Linked DNA regions of Neurospora crassa OR74A. The protein of the gene in region 1 interacts with the protein of each later gene in a pairwise test. Links are inferred from orthologs where the notes say so. Each region holds a gene or a part of one and is shown in the gene's direction. Other genes may lie near its edges.

The links.
Region 2: the proteins of uvs-2 (region 1) and mus-41 interact in a two-hybrid assay, tested with the Saccharomyces cerevisiae proteins (4 studies listed by BioGRID). The link is inferred for Neurospora crassa OR74A from reciprocal best matches to the Saccharomyces cerevisiae genes RAD18 and RAD5.

Annotation. Positions count from the first base shown.
Region 1 is NC_026504.1:5,736,149-5,747,002, forward strand, and holds uvs-2 (postreplication repair E3 ubiquitin-protein ligase rad-18), read left to right. Parts: upstream 1-5,835; 5' UTR 5,836-6,011; coding exon 6,012-6,558; intron 6,559-6,627; coding exon 6,628-7,586; 3' UTR 7,587-7,645; downstream 7,646-10,854. Other genes in the region: NCU05211 (hypothetical protein), read right to left, coding at 202-4,614, 4,705-4,795, 4,848-5,026; NCU05209 (hypothetical protein), read right to left, coding at 7,801-8,669, 8,734-8,929; NCU05208 (hypothetical protein), read left to right, coding at 9,454-9,543, 9,635-9,782, 9,929-10,854. UniProt on the Saccharomyces cerevisiae protein: E3 RING-finger protein, member of the UBC2/RAD6 epistasis group. Associates to the E2 ubiquitin conjugating enzyme UBC2/RAD6 to form the UBC2-RAD18 ubiquitin ligase complex involved in postreplicative repair (PRR) of damaged DNA.
Region 2 is NC_026503.1:31,068-42,353, forward strand, and holds mus-41 (DNA repair protein rad-5), read left to right. Parts: upstream 1-6,624; 5' UTR 6,625-6,810; coding exon 6,811-8,584; intron 8,585-8,652; coding exon 8,653-10,480; intron 10,481-10,555; coding exon 10,556-10,640; 3' UTR 10,641-10,810; downstream 10,811-11,286. Other genes in the region: NCU09518 (glucooligosaccharide oxidase), read right to left, coding at 1,841-2,329, 2,383-2,923, 2,985-3,463; NCU09517 (hypothetical protein), read right to left, coding at 4,775-5,741, 5,828-6,006. UniProt on the Saccharomyces cerevisiae protein: Probable helicase, member of the UBC2/RAD6 epistasis group. Functions with the DNA repair protein RAD18 in error-free postreplication DNA repair.

The DNA of each region.
Region 1 (10,854 bases):
TAATGAACATGAACCAATTCTCAGCCAAGAAGAAAAAAAATGCTATACCCTTTCCCTTCCATTCCGATACCGCAGCCTTCTCATCCGGAAGTTAACGCTGCTGGTATAAAAACCCATAGAGGTAGCCAACTCCAACACTGAATATGTGCAAAAGAACAAGTAATCAATACAACCCTTCCCCCCTGTTATACTCCATTATCATTACCCCAAAGTCCTTCCCAATCCCCAACTCCATCCTCCCTCCTTCCTCATCCTCTCCCTCGCCTCCCGATCCCTACACACCTCCTCCTCCGTCAACCGATCCTGCCCTTCCCAATTCGCGCTGCTCGTCCTGGCCCTGAACCGATGATGTCTGCTCTTGTCCTTGCTAAACACCTCCTCCATGTTCAGCGGAGCAGGAGGTCCAAAGATGACCATCGGGTCGAGCTGCTCTTGTGCCAAAAGTTGAGCCTTGAGGTAAGGGCTGTCGGTCCAGTTGCCACCATTCAGCGAAGAGCGCAAATTGGGGTTGGAGGTGGATGGACGGGGCGTGTCGACCCCGTCTTCGTCGTCCGTTTGGATCTCAGGGAGCTCGATGGAGTCGCCGGCGGCGATGGCGGCGAGGCGGGGGGAGGTGCGGGTGGGTTTGGTGGCGGATGTGAGAGCCAGGGCGCGGGCGGCAGTAGCACCCGGACGCGCTGGGGTTTGGAGCGGATGGCGGGACGATCCGGCCTGAGCAGCAGCGGAAGGACCAGCGCCGTTGGGGTTGGAGGCAAAGGGGATCTGGTTGCCCTTTTGGAATTGGGCCGTGTCCAGTGCGTGACCCGTCTTGATTTGGTTGACGGTGGTCTTCTTGAAGAGGTCGACTGTCCTTGAGGGAGGGGGAGGGGCGTGCGGTACGTTGGTATAGTTGGAGGCGAAAATCGACTTGCCTGTCGTGGTAGTAGTCGACAAATCCTTCTTGAACCCAACCGAGGGTTGTCTAACGGCTGCCGACGGCCTCACACCCGAAGGCCGGACCGCAGAAGGCCGGACGGGTGCCCCCCTGATGCTCCTCTGCTGCTTGGTGTTACCCTCAGCCATCTCGATATCCGCATCAAAGTCCTCAGACACGCGAATCCGCTTCGAATCCTGATGGGCCTCTTGCACCTGCGTCAACGGACGCTTGGAAGCCGCCTTGCCCAGCACAGCATTGACTGGTCGGCTATCGTGCAGCGCCGGCCCAAGACGAGAATTAGGTCTCGAAGGTTGCCTGCTCTCCGCCAAGTGATCCGGAGGACCGTTAGGCTGGGACCTTGGCGGCGGGGGCGGCGCACGGGTCCGTTTGGCTTGCTCAATCGCGGCCTTCTTAGCTGCCGCAGCTTGCTTGCGCTGCTCTTCCTCCTTCATCTCAGCCCTCTTGCGCTCATTTTCCGCCTTCTGATCACGCCTGCGCTGGATCTCGCGCTCCTCTTGCTCCTTTTGTTTGGCCGCCAGCTCCAACGCTTTGGGCCGCCCGACAGTCAAAGAATAAGACCCCTTAAGACTCTGCAGGGAAGGCTTCTTGGTGAGCGATGACGTGCTGGCCTTGCTTACAAGTTGCTGCCTTCCGTGCGACTGACCGAGGCTCTCCTGGCTGGTGGTGCTGAGAACACTGTTGGTCGAAGTGTGGAACGCTCCCTGCTGGGAGCTGGTGGTGTTGACGCGGATGCGAGTCGGGGCGGGCTTGGCCCTCGTCAAGGCCTCCTTCGTGGGTCTGATAGGTCGCTTGATACCCGTGCCACGGGAGGCTTGAGCAGATGGAGGTCGAGGAATTGACTGAGGTGCCTTTGTGGAGATAGTAACGTCTCCCATGTCGACATCGGCTTCCTCCTTTTCGGCTTCACCCTGCTTGGCTCCTCTGCGAAGACTAGTCCGAGTAGCTTTCTTGGGGCTCTTGGGTGCCGATTTGAAAGGTCCTGGTGTCTCGAACAACTGCTTGGACTGCGGTCGTGCCTTGGTAAGCTTGTGTTGTTGTTCCTGCTCCCTCTGTTCAGCAGCGCGTCTCTCCATCTCCGCCTGTCTCTCTTGTTCTTGTTGGAAGAGACGGGCCTTTTCCGCTTCCTTCTCGCGCATCTTCTCCAGCTTCTCATTCTGCTTGGCATATGTCTTGGCATATTGCTTGGCCTCCTTCTCTTCCCTCTTCTTTTCCTTCTCCCTTTCCTCTGCCTCCTTTCGTTCCCTCTCGGTCGACGCTCGGGTTTTTCTCGTGGGTCGGATGGGGGTGGCGGCTACGGGGGCTTCGGCCTGTGCATGGTGAGATAGATCAGGATAGACGACATTATCGGCTGTCTTGAAGGAAGCTTCGGATAAACTGGGATGTTCTTCCAGTCGAGCAGTTGAGGGAGTCGTGAAGAGCCCCGTCAGTTTTGCTTCGGCATTTGAATGTGCACTGGTTGGGAGAAGTCCCTTGGATGATTTCATAAGGGACGAAAACTTGTTCTTGACCCTCTCCAGCGTGTTCTCGCGGAATGCCTTGGAGGGGGACTTGAAGGGCGAAGGAGGTTCGTGCGCTGGCATTTCGGGGAGGTTGGAAGTAGAGACAGATGCCTCTTTCTTGGGGCTGGCGGTTTTTGGCACGGGAGGCTCGTGCAAACTGGGTAGCGTGGGAACAGAAGCCGATTTGACATGTGTTGTTGAGGAAGACGCAGCAGGTGGTTCCTGGATGATGGGCGCTTTACTTGGTGACTCGTGCCTGTTCTCCATGAAGGATTCTCCAAGGGTCGGAGATGCCTCCCTTGCGAATAAGTTCATTCCTTCCATTGGCTGACTTAACCGTGTGTCTTTGCGCGCGTTCCACACCATGGGGGTAGACATATCCGCTCCCTTGCTAGGAGGTCCAATCCAGTCGTCATCATCGTCCAGCGGGAATGCTCCCGGTGTGGGAAATGCCCTGGGAGTAACCACGGGTGGCTTCTTGGGTGAGGATCTGGTGGGCTCCGGAACGGGCTGTGTCGTCGGTGCCTGTGAAGTGGATGCGTGTTGTTGCGTCGGCAAGAGGTGGGCTATCGATTTCGATGGTCTCGGTCCCATTGACTGTCCCTTGCCCAACATGTTGATCTGATCCTGCAATCGCTGCGTGTATGATTTGGCAGTCCTGGGTTCCTGGGTATGATCATCATCAATGTCCATCTCATCGTCGTCATCATCGAAATCCTGTCGGGTAGTATGGCCAAGACTCTTTCCTCCCGTCTGGCGATGGTAGAAGGAGGTTCGCGTTACGTCGACGTGGCTCGTCCTCGACATCCTAGTACCGAGGCTCTTCTTAGAGGTCATCGGCTCGCGTGCGGGAAGTGATGCAAAGTTCAGACTGCTCAGGCGCTTAACCGGGCTAATGGGGCTGGAGGCTTCCATGGACGAGTTGGCGTCATCGTCCACCTTGTCGTCCGCCTGGTCGTCCGCATGATCCTTCTCTGACTGGGCGTGTACAAAGGGCGCCGGAGTCTTGGGTTGCTGTTCAGTGACTGGCTCTGTCTCTGGCGATCTCTTTTTTGGTGACAGGACGGGAGCGCTATCCACAGGTGATTCCTCCTTTTCAAGCTCCGGAGTCTTTTCGGGGGAGGGAATCTTCTCTGGTGAAGGATCCTTCTGGGGAGAGGCCACCTTGACCGGGGAAACCCTCTTCTCGGGGGAAAGGCGCTTTTCTGGCGATGCGAGCTTCTGAGGCGAGGCAGCCTTTTGGGGGGAGGGCGCATGGATAGACCTGGTGGGCGACGGAATGAGCATGTGGACTGGGCTGCTAGACCTAATCACATCAGGCTCGGGCGAAAGAAGTCGAGGGTATTGAACGGTAGGCTCAACAGGTTCTTCTGAAGGTGTTGTGGTTCGTAGTAGTTCGGCCGTCTCCTGTGGTGCGGGACTGGCGTGCTGCTCCGGCTCGGTGGGGGCTGGCTGAACCCCCAGATCCTGTGACTCTATCTCCTGCTGCTCTGGTTCCTCCTGCGTCGGTTCCTGGTTGAGCTCATTTGACGGCTGTATTGATTCCTCTGTCTGCTCCTGTGTGGGCTCTTGTGGAGGTTGTTGTTGTGGTAGCTCCTGCGCCGACTGCTGAGTGAGTTCCATGGTCGGCTCGTGTGCTGATTCTCCCATATCGACATCGACATCGACATCGGCATTGGCATTGGCATCGGCAACCTTTCCGACCTCGTCCACATCCATAATATCCAGCTGTTGACTGCCATAGTATCCAGAATCAGAGGGCTTGACCGGGGTAGGCGACTTGGAAAGAATTGGTAGGGGGGAGCCATTGAGATGTTTGATTGGGCTTCTGACTTTGGACGGGGTAGCGGCAACTGGCTTTGCTGGACTTGCGGGTGGTGGTCGCATGGGCGTGGTGTTGTTTGGCCTGACTGGGCTCGGTTGTCGTGATGGCGCGGCAACGCTCTTGACTGGGCTTGGCGACTTTGCGGCAGCTGATTTTCGCGGGCTCGCACGGCGCGTCGAGGGAGTCGTGGGATTCTTGGGGACATCATCGGCTTCGTCATCAGCTTCGACGTCGGCTTCCGGCGTATCGGGCCTGATCTTGGGCGTCCATGACGAGTTGTTCGCGGGCGGCGCGAGGACGAAGGGATTAGGTGTCACACCCTTGGGCGTCGCTGAGAAGATGCTGGCCAAGGGCTGCTGTGGGTTAGAACAAAATCAATCAATCAATCAATCACTCTTGGTCGCCCGTCGCAGAAGAATGATGGACGCTGTCTGGATGCTTACCACTCTCACTTCGGTATTGGGCCCTTTGCGAATTGTCCGCGGTGTCTTGCCTCGTGGTCGTGCTGGCGTTTTGAAGATTTCGGCAATGTTCCTGTTCCTGGTCAGCGAGACAAAGAGAGGGAAATAAAACAAAGACAACGCACATTTGGTTCTCGCCCAAGAAAATGTCCTCCATGTGCTCGTTCAGCCAGTCCATCTCATTGCGCGCCGCATACGAGAACTCTTCGACTTCCTCCTCTGCCACCTTGAGCGCCGATGCGCGCTCTTCTGCAACCCACGCTGCCGAGCCGACGGGCAGACGTGGTGCCTTGCGCATCGCCATTTTTGCTGTTTGTTTACTTTGGCGCCAAAAGTCAACAAACCGGATTTGGGGATGTGGGGAAAGCTCTAAAAAAAAAAAAAACCCCCAAGCAATGATCGGAAAAGAAAGGAATGGCAACAAGTGAGATGTTCAAAGCATTGGTATGATTAGTTGGTCAAAGAAAGGGAGGGAGGTGGGCGACGAGGCTGGCGATGTGGTATAATGGTGGTTGTCGGAGGGATGACGGGATTGCGTCGATCGAGTCAAAGCAACAAAGAGAAAGTCAAAGTCAAACAAACCAAGTAAAAAGCGAGGGATCGGAGACCTGACCTGACCTGACCTGGGATGGAGTTCCTGTTGCCGGAGCAAATTCCCTTGTCTTGGTTTCAATTGTTAGTACCCAATCCGCTCCAGTCTTTGTTTTGGTTGATGCCCAAAAGGGAATAGTCTGGGCTGAGGGGAGCGAAGAGGTGGGGCTTCTGTTTCCACTGCACTGTTGCAGCGCTTTTGTGCCTGGAAACTGAAGGCCCCAGAACACACCCCCGCTGCACGCCTTCCCGTCGCCAATTCACGTGCAGGCCCTGTCATTACCGTATCGTGGGCACAATCAATACCGTCATGGAGAGATCAAAGGTCTGCAAGTAAGAGGTTGGCCACAAAGAGCTGTAAATGTTGAATAATGGCAGTGCAGATGTTCAGAGAGCCATGTTTAACTTGAAACAAAAACACCAACTGAAAGAGCAATTCCCAGGGAAAAGATCCCGAGTGCTAGATACCCGGGTCACTCTTCGGTATTCTTGCTGACCCTCGGCCAGTTTGTGTAAATACAGTGTAATGGAATTCTCCTCCTCGACAAAGTCGCGACCAGTCTCGTCCGACTTGCAGACATCGCGTCTCACATCTTCCGTCTCTTCTACAATACTACTTCCAGGCTTCCAGGTAGAACGAAGGCAGCCATCACCACCAACAAAGTACTCGGATACCCTTCAGTACAACCGACATTATCATGGACGTCTTTGGCGATGAAGCCTTCAACGTCCCCGACTCGACCGACTGGCTGGGCACGCCCCTCGCATGCCTGATGCCCGTCGAACAGGCTTTCCGCTGTCACGTATGCAAGGACTTTTACGACTCTCCCATGCTCACATCCTGCAATCACACCTTTTGCTCCTTGTGCATCCGAAGATGTCTGTCCGTCGACAGCAAGTGCCCGCTCTGTCGCGCCACCGACCAGGAATCCAAGCTCAGAGGCAACTGGGCTTTGCGCGAAGCCGTAGAAGCCTTCAAGAACTCCCGCAAAGTCCTTCTCGAGTTTGCTAGGACACCACCGACCATTCAGGCGATACTGCCAGACCAAGCAGGCCCCAGTTCGCCATCAAAACGAAAGGCGACCGAAATGGAGGGGCCAAAAGAGGAGGACCCAGAAAGCAAGAGGCCGAGGAGGTCAACCAGATCAACAAGAGCCCGAGCCGCCGAGTTGACAGCGGCAATACTACAAGAAGAGCAAGACACCACACCTTCAGCCGACCCGGATTACGTCGACCAACCACCCGGTTCGTTTCCCTCCTCCCGCTCCTCGTGGGTTGCTTCTATCATCATCATCATCACTGACCTCCCACCAGACGACGGCCTAGTAGCCTGCCCCATCTGCCTCACCCGCATGAAGGAACAGCAAGTCGACCGCCACCTCGACACCTCTTGTCCCGGTTCTCCCCAGGCCGCATCCAAACGACGACCGATCCCCGCTCAAACACCACAGCCATCGACCTTTCCATCCTTCAACACCCGCCTCACATCTCAAACCAACCAAAAACCACCCGAACGCCTCCCCGCCCTAGCCTACTCCATGCTGCGCGACACCGCCCTGCGCAAGAAACTCTCCGAACTCGGCCTCTCCACCCACGGTTCTCGCCAGCTCTTGGAGAAGCGCCACAAGGAGTGGATCACGCTTTGGAACGCCAACTGCGACTCTTCGCGACCCAAAAAGCGGTCCGAGTTACTTCGCGATCTAGACGAATGGGAACGGACAGTAGGGAATCCCGGCACAGCAGCAGGAGGAGGAGGGGGGCAGCAGGGACTCGGACTCATGGCGAGGGCGCAAGCTACTGGAGCGCAGATCAAGGACAAGGAGTTCGATGGCAAAGCTTGGGCAACTCGGTATGGAGGGAGTTTTGGGGATTTGATCAAGCAGGCCCGGCAGGGGATTAAGAGGCAGACTTTGGATGGTAATGGGGAGAAGGCGGATACCAAGGGTGGGGGTGGGGGTGAGGATGTTGGCCCAGCTGAACTTCCGACACTACAAGCGAGAGAGGGGGAAAGCAGTGCAGCGCCAACACGGATGGATATTGTCCCGCCATCAAGTCCACCACGACCGGGGCAGGTGGATGACGCGGATACAGAACACGACGGGCAAGCTCCTGGAAAGGATGCTATAGCAGAGGATACCGCCATGAGGGAACAAGTCATTCCCGGGACTCCAGACAAGGAACGGCAGTGGGAGACGTCACAGCAGCAGCAGCCACCAATACCTGGGGATGCTCAACTGAGTGGGATGAAGAAGCCAAATCCAGAGACATGTTAAGGCCGATGGATATATTATGACAGGCACTCTTTTCTCCTACTTTACTAATTTACCCTGTGTTCTGTATGACATTTGTAGTCCATCCGGACTAGACCCACTTAACCTCTACACTAAAACCCACCCCACCCCCAGAAGACCCACATTTCTGTGGGCCGGGTCCGCTGAAGGATGTCGACGGGGGGTAAAAGTGATAGAGACTACTTACCACAGGAACCTAGTGACACCTACCCCCAACGTAAACATCGCCCCCAGGATACGACTCCCCCTTCACCCCGCCTCTCAACTCCTCTCCCATGCCCGCCCCCTTCAAAATTCCCTCCTGCCGCTTCACCTCCCTCACCACCCTCTCCGGATACAAGACCAAAAACCCCGCCATCACCACCCCCATCGGCACCCCATCAAACACATAGACAAACCACTCATGACTTGCCACCACCCCGTCCGTTCCCCCCAAATACTCGGCCCCGCGCACCACACTCCTGACAACCAACATAGCCCCCGCCACCTCCATCACACCAAAATACCACAGCCATCTCACCCCAGGGTCCATCAGCATTGCCCGTGACCTGGTCGGGTTGCGGTGCAGGCGCACGTGTAGGCGGCCGCAGGTGAAGAGGAAGATACCCAGCGCGAGGAGCTGGACGCACAGGCCGATTAGGACAATGATCTTGCTCAGGCGTTGCGCCGACTCGGTGCCGCTTGCGGGGAGGACGGTGCCGATGAGCTGGGTGAAGATTGCGGCCACGTCGGCGAGGACGTAGAGCCGCGTCGGGGAGCAGGTGCAGAAGCTGTTGGTTGGTTGGCAATGGGCGGTTAGTGACGGGGGGTCGGGGAAATAGATGATGATGGGGCGGTACCAGGAGTAACAGCATCGGGCGCAGCAGCCGCGGTTGTTACGGCGCCCGTGGTTGGGTTTGGAGGTGCCCTCGAGGAGCGCCGTGGAGATGCGGCCGTAGGACATGTATAGGGAGGCGGCGAGGAGGGGAGGGGCGACGAGGAGGAGCATGTTCTGCAGCAGCCAGGGGTCGAGCTTTGTGGGGTCGGAGTGGGCGTAACTGCGTTCGAGGTAGCCGAAGACGAGGCCTGGTTGTTTGGGGGTTGGATGGTCAGGGAGATTGCGAGGTGGAAGAGACAGGAGAAGGCTTACAGATGCCACCGAGGATGAGGGGAATGCATCCCCACGCCCGGAGCCAGACAAAGTAGACGAGGTGCGCGAGGGTGGCCAAGGCGAACAAGGCGAGAAAGAGGTGCGCGGCAACGTTGCTGGGTCGGTATTCCCAAAAGACCACCACCATGGTCCCGTTGACCACAGGGCCGAAGGGCGGGCCATCGTTAAGCGTCATTGAGTTGGGGAGGGTAGTAGAGATGCCAGGTTTGGGAGTAGACGGAAAGGGATATCAAAAGCTGCTGCTAGCCCTTTGCTTGATAACGGAACACATGACCAACACAACAAATACAGGGCAAGTCATTCCTCGAGGGGGGTTATATACCGTCGAGAGACAGGTGAATCGCATTACTTTCAGTGCTGATCAAGATCTGAACAGACGGTACCCTGGCATTCCATTTGGATGCTCACAGCCCCCTCAGACGAAACTGCGTCGTGGGCTGTGGGGCGGGCGACTTACACGAGATGTGGATTCACGGGCTTCCCTTTTATTCGGCTTTGATTTTTCGCACTTGGATCCGAAAAATTCACAGCCAACCATCCATTACACCTCAATGTCAACTTACTGTAGCCTCCTTTCGCAGACGCCGCAGCTCCATTCAAGGGCTTCCCTTTATTCGGGTTTTATTTTTCGCACTTTGATCCGAAAAATCAATTCACACCCAATCTCAACTTACTGTGCTCTAGCCACCTTTCGCAGAAATGGCGGCGTCGTCATCGACCAGAAAGTCCATTCAACCTCACCGCAAATCACGCACCGGCTGTAGCTCTTGTAAACGCCGCAAAGTCAAGGTCAGTTTTTCACCCGTTACCTACACAACACACAAAGATGCTTCTCGCCTTTTACAAGCGCCGTTTCTCGACTCTTGCTGACCTCCCTCAGTGCGACGAAGAGAAGCCATGTAGCAATTGCATCCGCTTCGGCCTGCCCTGCAATCTCGTCCCAGAAAATGCCCATTTCGAACATGGTATTGTAGGACCTGCCGCTCCGACTCGACGAGGTCGGGGGCGGCCTCGGAAGAACTGGGCAGGTGAGTCAAACAGTGTGTGCGAGCCTTTGGGCTTCACTCCAAGCATTTTTTTTTCCCTGTCTTTTTCCTCCATGTCTCTTCTTCCATTTCATGCCCTTTTCTTTCCATGTCTTTCTTCTTTCCACGCCAGCTAACTCTCCGCTCAGATCCCCCACACTCCCAAAGCACACCATCCACCACCCCAACCTCCCCCCTCGACGACCCAACACCCCTCAACCAGCGGGCCTGTGTCCCGACGACGACGACAATCGACCTCAATATTACCCAAGCCGAACTCCTCCTCCACTTCACCACCACCACCGCCCCCTCCATCGGCGGCTGCGACAAGCACCCGCACCACCTCGCCTTCTGGACGCGCAACGCCCTGCACATCGGCCTCGCCCACCCCTTCGTCCTGCACCTCCTCCTCGCCGACACGGCGTTCCACCTCGCCTACCTGACAGCCACCCATCACCATGAGCAAGAAGAAGTGTTGCTGTTGCCTCCGCGCCGTAGCCATAGCGAATATCTCGCCCTCGCGCAGCAGCACCTGACGGAGGGGGTGTCGGGGTTCGCGGCAGAGCTTGCGCGGCCGGGGGAGGGGAATTGTGGGGCGCTGTATCTGGGCGCGGTGCTACTTTGTTTTTGCACGTTTGCGGATGGGCCGAGGGGGGACGGAGATTTGCTGGTGTGCAGTGTTGATGGGGATGGAGATGGAGATGAAGGGTGTGGTTTGGAAGAGGTCGGGGGTGGTGGTGTGAGCATGCCGTTCGTGTACGGCGTGCGGCTCATGCACCAGACTTTTCGTCCAGAGGTGTTGTTCGCCGGTTTGATGGAGCCGTTGGGGAGGGATCTGCCGCCGTCGCCTTTGGATACGCCCGTTTACGTAAGGGATGGGTTCCCGCGGGTGGAGTGGGAAGAGCAGTTGGATGGGCTACGGGAGTTTGTTGTGGCCAGGGCACAAGAAGGCGGCGCACCCAATGAAGGAGAACTCTCCAGGACGACAGCAGCCGTCGCCGTCCACGCCCTCGACAATCTCATCGGGATATACGCAGCAATATACGGGCGCCGCGGGCCAGACGGCGAGATCAGA
Region 2 (11,286 bases), on another chromosome or scaffold:
CCGCAACCGCTGTGTAGAGTACTACTATACAGATGACCAAGTCATTGACATAATGCAAATACGAGCGTTGCACAATTCATAGCCAAAAGCGCATATTTGTTGCGGCCTGGCGAATACATTGTCCCCTAGTATTTGTGACAGCGTTATGTTAATGCTTCCCGTGGATACCTCTGACTACCTATGTAGATATATGAACATGCGGTCAACAAGCCCTCCGTAAGTCTAGCTCTTAGTGATTGCAGTTTCAGGTCCCTTTCAATCGGGGTTTGGTCTACCGGGCGTAATATGACGTGGATGAAGCTCCTAGGGTCCTAGACACTAAGGGAACAGGGATTCGCAAGTACATCCAAAATTGTCACCATTAGATACAGCATATATCGTAACCATGCGAATGGAAACTCATATGGGGACCCGGCGCCTGGGACAACGCTTTGTCGTTAACCACGAGCACGAATGTATTGAAAGTTGGCATTTGTCCTCCTTCACTTTATGTGTACTCTCTCCACCGAGAACCCCAACAATCAAGTTATACGCCCGTATAGCTCAGTGGTAGAGCGCTTCACTCGTATTAGTCATTTGCGTAATGAAGAGGTCCGCGGTTCAATCCCGCGTGGGGGCACACTTTTTTTCAGTTATCCTTCTTGTCTTTGCTTTCAGCTTCCACCTTCTTTTTTCATCCTTCTTTTTCTTCCAACCTTCCTACATTTCTCCCTCATTTGCGTTGTGGCAGATTTCAGTCCCAAATTCATATCATTATACTCGAAGAACACGCACTTGCTAAAAGACCAGAGAGCCATACAGGGTCACCTAATCAACGCCCTATTGTAGTTCCTTCCATTCGCAGTCGTGGCTGAGCGGGCAGTCAAGTCTTCAAACCAGACGTTGGCAAGACTCAAATAAGGAACACCACCTGAGGTTGTGGAAGGTGCTTCGACGATCCACTCGGCGTCAACCTAGCCCATGCCAGTCCAGTTAACGAGTGAAGTTTGACAGGAGGTTAGTATGACTTTAATGCTGATCTCTTTGCCAAAACTTAAATCCGTCGATCATCCAACTTTAAGGGAAAGATGAAGGAGGGCTTGGCACAGCCAACTAAAGGTTTAGGTACTAGCTCATGACCATATCGAGGTCTTGGGAGCCATAACAAATAGGGACAAGGTTGATAGCATCTCTAGAGTAGTATTTGCGGTTGGCCTATGAAATGTGCTGCTAAACTACCTACCTACCTCTACTGAATATCGACTTCGTGTGTAGGTAACATCCAGTCGAGTTGCTACAGTAGATTATAGGTTGATCCTCGTGACTGTATTGGTCACGTCATTCTTTGACTTCCTATTTCAGTAGTTGACCGACTGGAATGTCTCATACCTTGAGGTACCTAGGTTCCATCTCAACTCGTCGTAGTTCAAGAGGTAGAAGAGATGAAGAGAATGGTGGGCTGACATGGATCAAGTAACCACGGCTCGGCTCGTATTGACTTCATACCTACCTAACCGGCTCTAGCCACCACCACTGCCTGAGGTACCTAAGTAGGGCAATTACCGAGCTACTACAGTCCTTCTAAGTCGAATTTCCATGGTGGAAGACCGGCATGTTGTTACCTCTATCGACCGTTATCGCCATCAGCCGTTGTAATGAATATAAACAAACCTTTTATGTGAGCAAGCGAAGCAACCACCCGTGAAGGGCAAGACAGGTACCGTAGTTGTAAAGAATCTTTCTTTGACGCTGCACTTGCTTACTACCTTGTAGACACCCACAAGCTCGACGTCTCAACAAAGGGCCAACGCTCCATTCACTCTCGCTCTCATGCATTCCCCTTCCACATTCCCGCCCCAGCCTACTTGGCCGGCTCAACACTTTGCGGGTAGTAGAAAACCTCGTTCGGATCGTACTGCGCCTTCACCTTCTGCAGCCTGCTAAGGCTACTACGGTAATAGTTCCCCACAGCCTCGGCCCTCTTCATCGTGGGATCTGCGTAGTTAATGTACATTCCCCACTGCTCCTGTTTCATGTTATCCGTGAAGCTCTTCACCCAACCATCGAGGAAGCTGAAACCGTTGCTCGGATAGCTTCCAAACATCACACGATCATAGAGCTCATAAAGGAAGAGGTATTCCGGGGCGCGATAGGCGTAAGAGCTCGTGTAGTTGGCGGAATTGGTGGTGGAGGAGGTGATGGCGGACTTGGGACCGCCGTGCATGTCGATGATGATGAACCAGTCGCGCGAGACGCGCTTGGCGGTGTTGATCCAGTAGTTGGCGACGGAGTTCAGAGCCGCGGAAGGGAGGGCGGTGGTAACGAGGGATTTGGAGTAGAAGGTTTCGACCTGGCAAAAAATTAGTTGCTGGAGAAGAAAGAAAGAAACGAGAGGGAACCTACGGTGTTGTAAGGATGCGTAACGTCCACCGTGCCGCCATAGGTATAATAAGTAAACGCTCCCATCCAGTCGTACTGCTGCGCATTGCTCAAGCTCGCTCCTAGAGTGCTCAACAGGGGCTGCACAGCCGTCCGCAGCGCCGAGCTACTCCCGTGATACAAGCCCTGCAGTTGCGTCTGACTCGGCGAGCCGAAGACCCTCATGTTCATCTCCTTCGGCATATTGCCAGCCGCCAACCAGTCCTGGAGTTTTTCCCAGCCGGATGCAATCGACGACGCTGAGTTCCAGGGCAAGTTAATCTGGAAAGCCGTTACTTGCGAGGGCGCAGCGAAGGTGTTGAACTTGAAGGAAGCCACAATGCCAAAGTTGGACCCAGCGCCACGCAAAGCCCAGAAGAGGTCCGGGTTCTCGGTTGGCGATGCGGTCACTACAGTGCTGTTGGCAAGGACGACTGTGGCGGCGGCAATCCAGTCTACTGCAAGACCGTAGGTGTGCGAGGAAAAGCCAAAGCCGCCGTGGAGGGAGTGGCCTCCTACCCCGACTCTGTTTCCCTCCTTGGTTAGCCCCGGCCAAGCCAAGAAGTAAGGGCTTGACGAAAACGTACCCAGGACAAGTCCCATGCGAGAAAGCTCTTTTGCCCTGTTTATACAGCTCCGTCGCCACATGCCCCAGTCTCGCTCCCGATTGAACATCTGCGATATTCGTCGTCTTATCCAGCGTCACCTTCGACATGCGATCCAACTCCACGACCAGATGCCCGTTCTCTCCGCCCAGACCAAACGAAGCATAACTGTGCCCTCCTGACTTGGGGGTAACTTTAATTCCCAGCTTGGTGGCACAGGAGACGGCACCTTGGATGTGTTCAATGGTGGTAGGGACCGCGATGGCTACTGGCGTGTAGGGCAGGCGCTGGTTGAAAGGGTTGACGTCGGTACGCCACTCGGAGGAGCCTTGAGCATCGGCTGGAACGCCGGCAGATTTGAGGCAGTCGTCGATGGCGGCACGCTTGTTGAGTGGAGAGCTTAGGGGGTTGGCGAGGATGGGGGCCGCCGTGGCAGTGAGGAGGATGAGTGGAAGCCACATGATGGACGAGGTATTGGATCGGAGTAAAAACCTATTTAGTGGGATGGGACGACCAAGTCTGAAGCCTGGCGATGTACGGAAGGCAGCTCAGTAGGGATGATATAGCTTGGTGAGTGCTTCATCTTGTCGAACCGGTCATAAGATACTGGCCTATCGGAGCTGTTTCTGTTCTTTCCCCTTTTGGCACACAAGAGATGTTAAAAAATGGGATGAACATTAGGCCCTTCCAGCTTCCCACGGCTGGACATAATGAATTGCGGGGGTTATAACGCAAGAACACGGCATCAAGCTCCCCGGGGGGTTAGTCACTGAGCCGTCTCGGCGGTCTTTGACCGTGAGGTATTTGATACGGAGAGTTATGTGACTGTAGGGATCCCGTCGAGCCGTTGCGGATTAGAGATTCGGAGGGAGGCAGTGTGTGGAAGTTCGCCAGTGATTGGTCCGGCTAACATATCAGCCTACAGATTGCTTCCTTCACATATGCCAAGATTGATGAACATGTTCAGCAGTCATTCCAAGCTCTTGGCAACTTGGGCTGAATGACGTTGAAACAAAAGTTTGTACGGAATATGGACAAAGGACACGCGTCGGCACCTGTCAATGCGACCCTGCAACCTTGTCGAGGATTCTTGACGAGACCGAGGCGAGGGCGACTAGAACTACTAGCGAAATGCCAGCCCTGTAGTGGAAATCCTTCGGCGGAAGAGCAAGCCGCAGGGCCACTCACTATCTTGAAAACCGATTGCGAACGACGGTCTTTATTCTTGGTGATAGGCCAGAAGTTGGTGGGTGAGCTTGGGGGTGATTGGGCCTGAACGAAGATGGTTTGGGTGTTCGCAGAGGTACAATTATAGGCTAAAATGTAGCCGTTACCCATGTTCCCACTACTCAGGCCCGGCGAGAACACGCCACACGGAACGCTCTTACAAAGTGGTTGCTCTGCCCCAGATTGCAAGCAATATCGGTCTTGGTGATGGATGTTGTGCTTTCAACTACCACCATCTGCAAAGGGGTCATGTGCCTCTCTGTCGTACGATGGTCCTACCGAGACCATGTCAACACTTTGCCTCGAGGACGCTTCGTGCTGTTTCAAAGGGACAAGAAGACCTGGGCCGATGCTGTCGACGATTGCAGACTTTTGCCTATTCATGATAATCGGGCTAAGCGATAGTCACGGAGTGTACGCTCGCGGTCTCGATCGAGATCGATCCTGTGTCGTCACAGACGGTCAGCACCAAGAGTACGATACGTGATGGAAAGAAGAATCTCGATTGTGGCTCGTTGGCCTCGTATACGGCACAAACAGAGGACTCAAATGTGCTGTGTCTTTAGAGCACGCCACAACCTCCAGGGAAGCTTCCAGCTCGCCTTGACTTTGAACGGGTCGAAATCAGCCTTCTCCAACCTTTCCAAGTAATCGGCAGCCGGGACTGCTTCCAACAGCACCCCAAACCCCCTCTTGATATCAGCTTGTGTTGCGTCGACCCCACCGCTGGAGTAGATATGCTCTTGTTCTCCCTCATGCTCATAATCATGGCCCACCTCTTCCCCGGCCTTCAAGTTCTTCAACATCTCCCTCGCCGTTATCAAATGGTCATTGGCCCTTGTAGCCACCTTGAACACGGAATCCTGCAGTCCCTCAGCGTTGGGTCCGTGGCGAAAGACATCTTCTTCTCTGACCCCCACCTCGGCCATCACATCGAGGGGTAGTAGCAGGGCGGGATGCCGGGTGTTGCCCACGCTCCCAGCCGGACCCTGGATGGGCTGCGATGGAGCGGCGAGAACGGGAATGCCGCGTAGTGTGGCTACGATGCCGCACGCCTTGCCGATGTGACTAGCCAGGTGGTCCATATGTACTGATCGCAAAGGCATGGAAGCCAAGGTCACATACATCAGCGTCGCGTACGTATTCTCGGCGTAGTCTTCCAGCGAGTTCAAGCTGACAAAGGGCCTGTTTTCCATGTGTTGCTCGCGCGTGTTGATCAAGCGTAGGAGCCAGAACTTGAGAGAGCTGGCGCTGTTGGGGCCGGCGCGGGCTTTGAGGTCTTGGATGGCTTGGTGGAGGAGGATGGAGATGGGCTCGCGTGGGGGATTGCCGGCAAAGACGCTGTTCACGGTTTCACGCCAAAAGGACATGCGCATGCGTGCGATGGTCGGGTTGGAAACTGTCTCGGGGAGACGGGCAAGTTCGAGGTTCAGGGTACGGAGGGCGTTGTAGGCGTCCCGAGAGGAAGGAGGGACGAATTGTCGGAGGAGAAAAGCTTCGTAGTCACCATGTCTGGGGTGGGGGGAGAAAGAGTTAGCAGAGAAAGAAGGGCAAGTGGGAAGAATGGCTAGGTATGGGGAGGGAAAGCAGAGACAGACTTGAGCTGGTTCTCACAGTACTGACGGGCCTTTTCGACGTCGCCGTCTGTGACTGTCGCGAGGCCTCGTCCGGAGAGGGAAGGCTGCCACGAAGGCCTCTGAGGCTGGAGACGTAGACGGGGCCGTAGAGGTGCCCGCCCCAGGCCATGACAACAACCTGCCGCTCGAGGGGATATCATGATCAAAGAAGCGGTACTGTTTTCCCCGCTGTCACAAAGTGGTTCACATCTCTCACTGTAACAAGAGACAAGACAACCTCGGCAGCAGCGGGGAGGAAGACAAGCCGACGACGACAGGACATGTTGATTTGACAATTCGCTGAGACCATGTTACGCTGCGCCCCTCAGCATCACAAGCGCGGCGCCTCTAAAGCCTTTATGGTTAGCAGCGATGACGGCATTAAATGGCTTCAGTGGCCCAAGCTTCTGGCTTTCCATACAATCCAGTACTGGTTTGCTTGTTAGTTCGAGACCTCGCATCAACTTTCCGATGCGTTTTCATAGCTAATCAATGCGTGATCTTACCATGGATACACCATTTGTAATATTCTGAATGCCATATCAAATAGTACTAATATCTTTTAACCTTTATACCAACTATTTCGATCTCTTCTTAGAGGGTTTAGGACTAATTGGGATAGATTAGGTTTCGTCTAGTGTATAGAGTATGGTACAGTACCTAGTGTACCCAGCTAACAAACAACCCAGCACTGGACTGTACACTGCAGAGGGCGTAATTAATTACCTCTAGGGTGGCGCGCAATCACCTGACAGCGGGAAGGCGGAAACGAATGCACGCCAAAGTTTCACGGTTGCCACGGCACAGTCGCGTCTCACAGGCGCAACACTGAAGTTCACCATTGCAGTTGGTGCATTCGAGTCGGTTGGGTGACAGTAGCTGACTGATACCGTACACCCGTGGTACGACTACCTAGAGGTACTGTACCTACCTTGAACCTAATGGGCTGAACAACCAACACCTGGATGGACCGACACGACACCATGGACTTCACCAACGAGCCTCTCTCCAAGAAGCGCCGGTTCCTGGGCGACCAGGGTGATTCGGACCATGTCGCTGGCGGCCCCAGCTCGTCTCCCCAGTTCAGTGCTCCCCCGAGCTCACCACCCAGGAAGAAACTCCTCCAAGACCCAAACAGTGAAGTCCAGCCACGAGTTTCCAAAGATGCGGACCACAATGACGACGACGACGACGACGACGACGACGACGACGAAGAACGCCCAAGATTCTTCACAGACGATGGCACCCTAACGCCCCACGCCACGAAGATATGTGCTCCCTGGCTCAACGACATGCCCAAACCAGACCCTAGAAAAGGATATCTCTTGAAAGACGTCGATACTCCGATCGCGACACCCCGGGACGTGGCACCCCCAGTGGTCGAGTCCCCCCAGCTGGCCTTCGACAAAGACACATTCGAAGCTTTTGTTGGCGAAAAGGTTGCGTCCGATATCCTCCACGTCATCAGCAAGAACTGCGGCAACAACATCGAAAGAGCCGTCAACATGTACCTGGATGGAACATGGAAAAAGCTGCACCGGGCGCCTCCAGTCAGAGTCAACTCGCATTCGCCCCTGGTTGTAGGAGGTCAGTCTCCCAAGAAATCATCAACATCACAAGCACGGTCCCGGTCGCACGCTCAAGCCCAACCACAGCCGCAATCGAACACACCAACAAAGGTTCTCCCATCAATGCCAGACGCCCGCTACGTCGGCGCATTTGGTGTTGAGGGATGGGCTACCAGAAGCGGGACAGGCCTCCTCAGACACGGTGACAGCGTCAAGATTGAGCGCCAAAAGATCCAACCACCTACCGTTGCAAGAAAAGGGCAGACCAAGCCTGGCACCCCGCAGTCCATACCACGAGTCAGCGCGGCAGCTGCCAAACGTGTCGATGTCATAGTCCGCTTCAACGACGCCAGTGGCAGGGAACTCGGCCGTCTAGCCAAAGACACAGCCAACTGGGTGTCAACGCTAATAGACCAGAACATCTGCAGATTCGAAGGCATCTGTGTTTACGCGCCCGAGCGTCTACGAACGAACGAGACCGTCTTCTTGCAGCTCAAGTGCTACATGCTACGGTCTGCCTTCTTGGGGAGAACCCTCCAACTAGCCGACAATAGGGCTGCCGGGTTCCACGAGAAAGACGAGACAACAGAAGAGAAGGACCTGCGACTGAGACAAGTGGCGCTTGTCAGACTGTTTCAAGAGATCAACATTGTTCCGTCTCGAGGCAACGCCGCTGCCGCCAAGGACGCCAGGAAAGACCTTCTTGAAGCAGCAGATTCGGCCGAGAAGAAGGCGATGGACAAGGCCAAGGCTGGGGACCACAACACTAACGGATTAGCTTCTCCCCCCGAAGAGGCCGAAGAGGGCCAGGAGCTCGAACAAGACCAACTCGACGCGCTGTACAAGAAGGCCCAATCCTTCGACTTTAGCACCCCCGAGGCTGAACCAGCTAATACCTTCGCCATGACCTTGCGTCCCTACCAGAAGCAGTCGCTGTACTGGATGCTGGCCAAGGAGAAGAACCAGCGAACAGAAGACCGTGAAACATCCATGCATCCCCTATGGGAAGAGTACGTGTGGCCGACCAAGGACCATGACGATAAGGACCTACCTGTGGTTCCTGACCAACCTTGCTTCTACGTCAACCCATACTCTGGCGATCTGTCACTGGACTTCCCCAAACAAGAGCAGCATTGTCTTGGTGGAATCTTGGCAGACGAGATGGGACTTGGTGGGTTTGCCTTTTACATTTTTCTTTTCTCTTTGACCTGATATCCAGCTCACAGTCATGTATCACAGGCAAAACCATCCAGATGCTTTCCCTGATCCATTCTCACCGATCCGAAGTAGCCATCAAGGCGCGGGAGGCTGGCCCTACCTCGGTCAACAACCTCCCACGCCTACCAACAGTCTCTGGACAGAAGACGACAATTGACGCTCCGTGCACAACCCTTGTGGTTGCCCCCATGTCCTTGCTGGCGCAATGGCAAAGCGAAGCTGAGAATGCTTCCAAGGAGGGCACGTTCAAGACCATGATGTACTACGGGGCGGAAAAGAATGTCGATCTGGTGACCATGTGCTGCGAAGCCAACGCGGCCAACGCTCCAGATGTGATCATCACCAGCTATGGAGTCGTCCTCTCCGAGTTTACCCAACTCGCCACCAAGAATGGAGACAGACTCAGCAGCCGCGGGCTTTTCTCCCTCAACTTCTTCCGTGTCATTCTGGACGAAGCACATAATATCAAGAACCGCCAAGCTAAGACCTCCCGCGCATGCTACGAAATTGCCGCCGAACACCGCTGGGTCCTCACCGGAACCCCCATTGTCAATCGCCTCGAAGACCTCTTCAGCCTGGTCCGTTTCCTACGCGTTGAGCCATGGAACAATTTTTCCTTCTGGCGGACCTTCATCACCGTCCCCTTTGAGTCCAAGAACTTTGTCCGCGCCTTAGACGTCGTCCAAACCGTCCTCGAACCGCTCGTCATGCGCCGCACCAAAGACATGAAGACCCCGGATGGCCAGTTCCTTGTTCCGCTTCCGCCCAAACACATCGAGATCGTCGACATCGAACTCTCCGAGCCTGAAAGGGCAGTCTACGACTACGTCTTCAACCGCGCCAAGCGAACGCTCTTTGACAATATGCAGGCCGGCACCGTCATGAAGGCGTTTACCTCCATTTTTGCACAGATCTTGCGGCTCCGGCAGTCCTGCTGTCACCCTGTGCTTGTTCGCAACCAGGAGATCCTCGCTGATGAGGAGGAAGCCAATATGGCCGCTGACGTTGCGGCGGGTTTGGCAGACGATATGGATCTCCAAACTCTGATCGAGCGCTTCACCGCCACCACAGACGACGCCTCCAAAACCAACAACAACTTCGGCGCTCACGTTCTTAGACAGATCCGTGACGAAGCAGTCAACGAATGCCCCATCTGCGCCGAAGAACCAATGATCGACCAGGCCGTGACAGGATGCTGGCATTCTGCGTGCAAGAAATGTCTGCTCGACTATATCAAACATCAAACCGACCGTAACGAGGTCCCGCGGTGTTTCCAATGTCGCGAGCACATCAACATCCGCGACATCTTCGAAGTCATCCGCCACGATGATGACCTGGAGACATCCTCTACCCCAGGGGCAAGTCCCGAGCCGCGCATCTCCCTACAACGCGTGGGCGCCAATGACTCCAGCGCCAAAATCGTCGCTCTAATCTCACACCTCCGCACCTTGCGTCAAGAGCACCCCAAAATGAAGTCCCTCGTAATTTCCCAATTCACATCCTTTCTCTCGCTGATATCCTCCGCCCTCACACGTCACAAGATCTCTTTTCTTCGGCTGGATGGGTCCATGTCCCAGAAGGCCCGCGCCGCTGTTCTTACCGAGTTTCAATCCACCAACAAGTTTTGCGTTTTGCTTCTCAGTCTCAAAGCGGGTGGTGTCGGGTTGAACCTGACCAGTGCCAAGAGGGTCTACATGATGGACCCGTGGTGGTCCTTTGCGGTGGAGGCGCAGGCGATTGATCGTGTGCATCGCATGGGGCAAGAGGATGAGGTGAGGGTTTATCGATTTATAGTGAAACAGAGTGTGGAAATGAGGATGTTGCGGGTGCAGGAGAGGAAAAAGTTTATGTGAGTTTGTCCCCGATCAGTGATTTAATGACATTGACTGGAGGTAGGTAAAAGGCTAACCTGATTTGACTGCAGAGCAACATCACTGGGGATGATGTCAGACGAGGAAAAGAAGATGCAGAGGATCGAGGATATCAAGGAGCTGTTGAGCTCAGACTAAGCGTATCGATATGTATGCCGGATGTCAGGGGAAACTGCAATCCAATCCATTTTCGTTGTTAGGCGTCCCGAGGTCCTTTTCTTGCATGCAGCGGCGTCGGTATACTTACCTATCTCGTACATAGGGCCATCTCAGGTCTTCATAGAGCAATAGAATCGCGCATACCAGAGCCCCAATTCTAACGTTGGCACCAAGCAGGTCAAGCGACCCGGAGGTGTAGGTGACTCTACGACTACGGGGAAAGCGTGGAAACTTCTGAGTTTTGGAAATCTGGATGGTCGGGTCGTTATGATTGTCGCCATCAAAGTTGACAAACCAAGGTGCCTTGTTCCTGACATTGTTACTGAAACCTTGGACTTGAAACCTTTGACATTATACCTTGTGTTTACGCTTACTACGCACCCGAGCATCTCCAATATACCTTGAAACTCAATGTTTAGGCAATGCCTGGATAGAGATATCCCAGAGGGACTCTAGCCGTTGTGTTTTCGAGTAGGCTTCAGCGGTACTCCCACACACTGTATTCCAAAATATTCGGTGGGCTTAAAGCCTTGCATTTCGTTGTGCGGACTGGAGACGGGTATGCTTGATGATGTAAATGAGGACATCTTTCTGGAACATGGACCGTAGACGTGGAAAGGGCTGG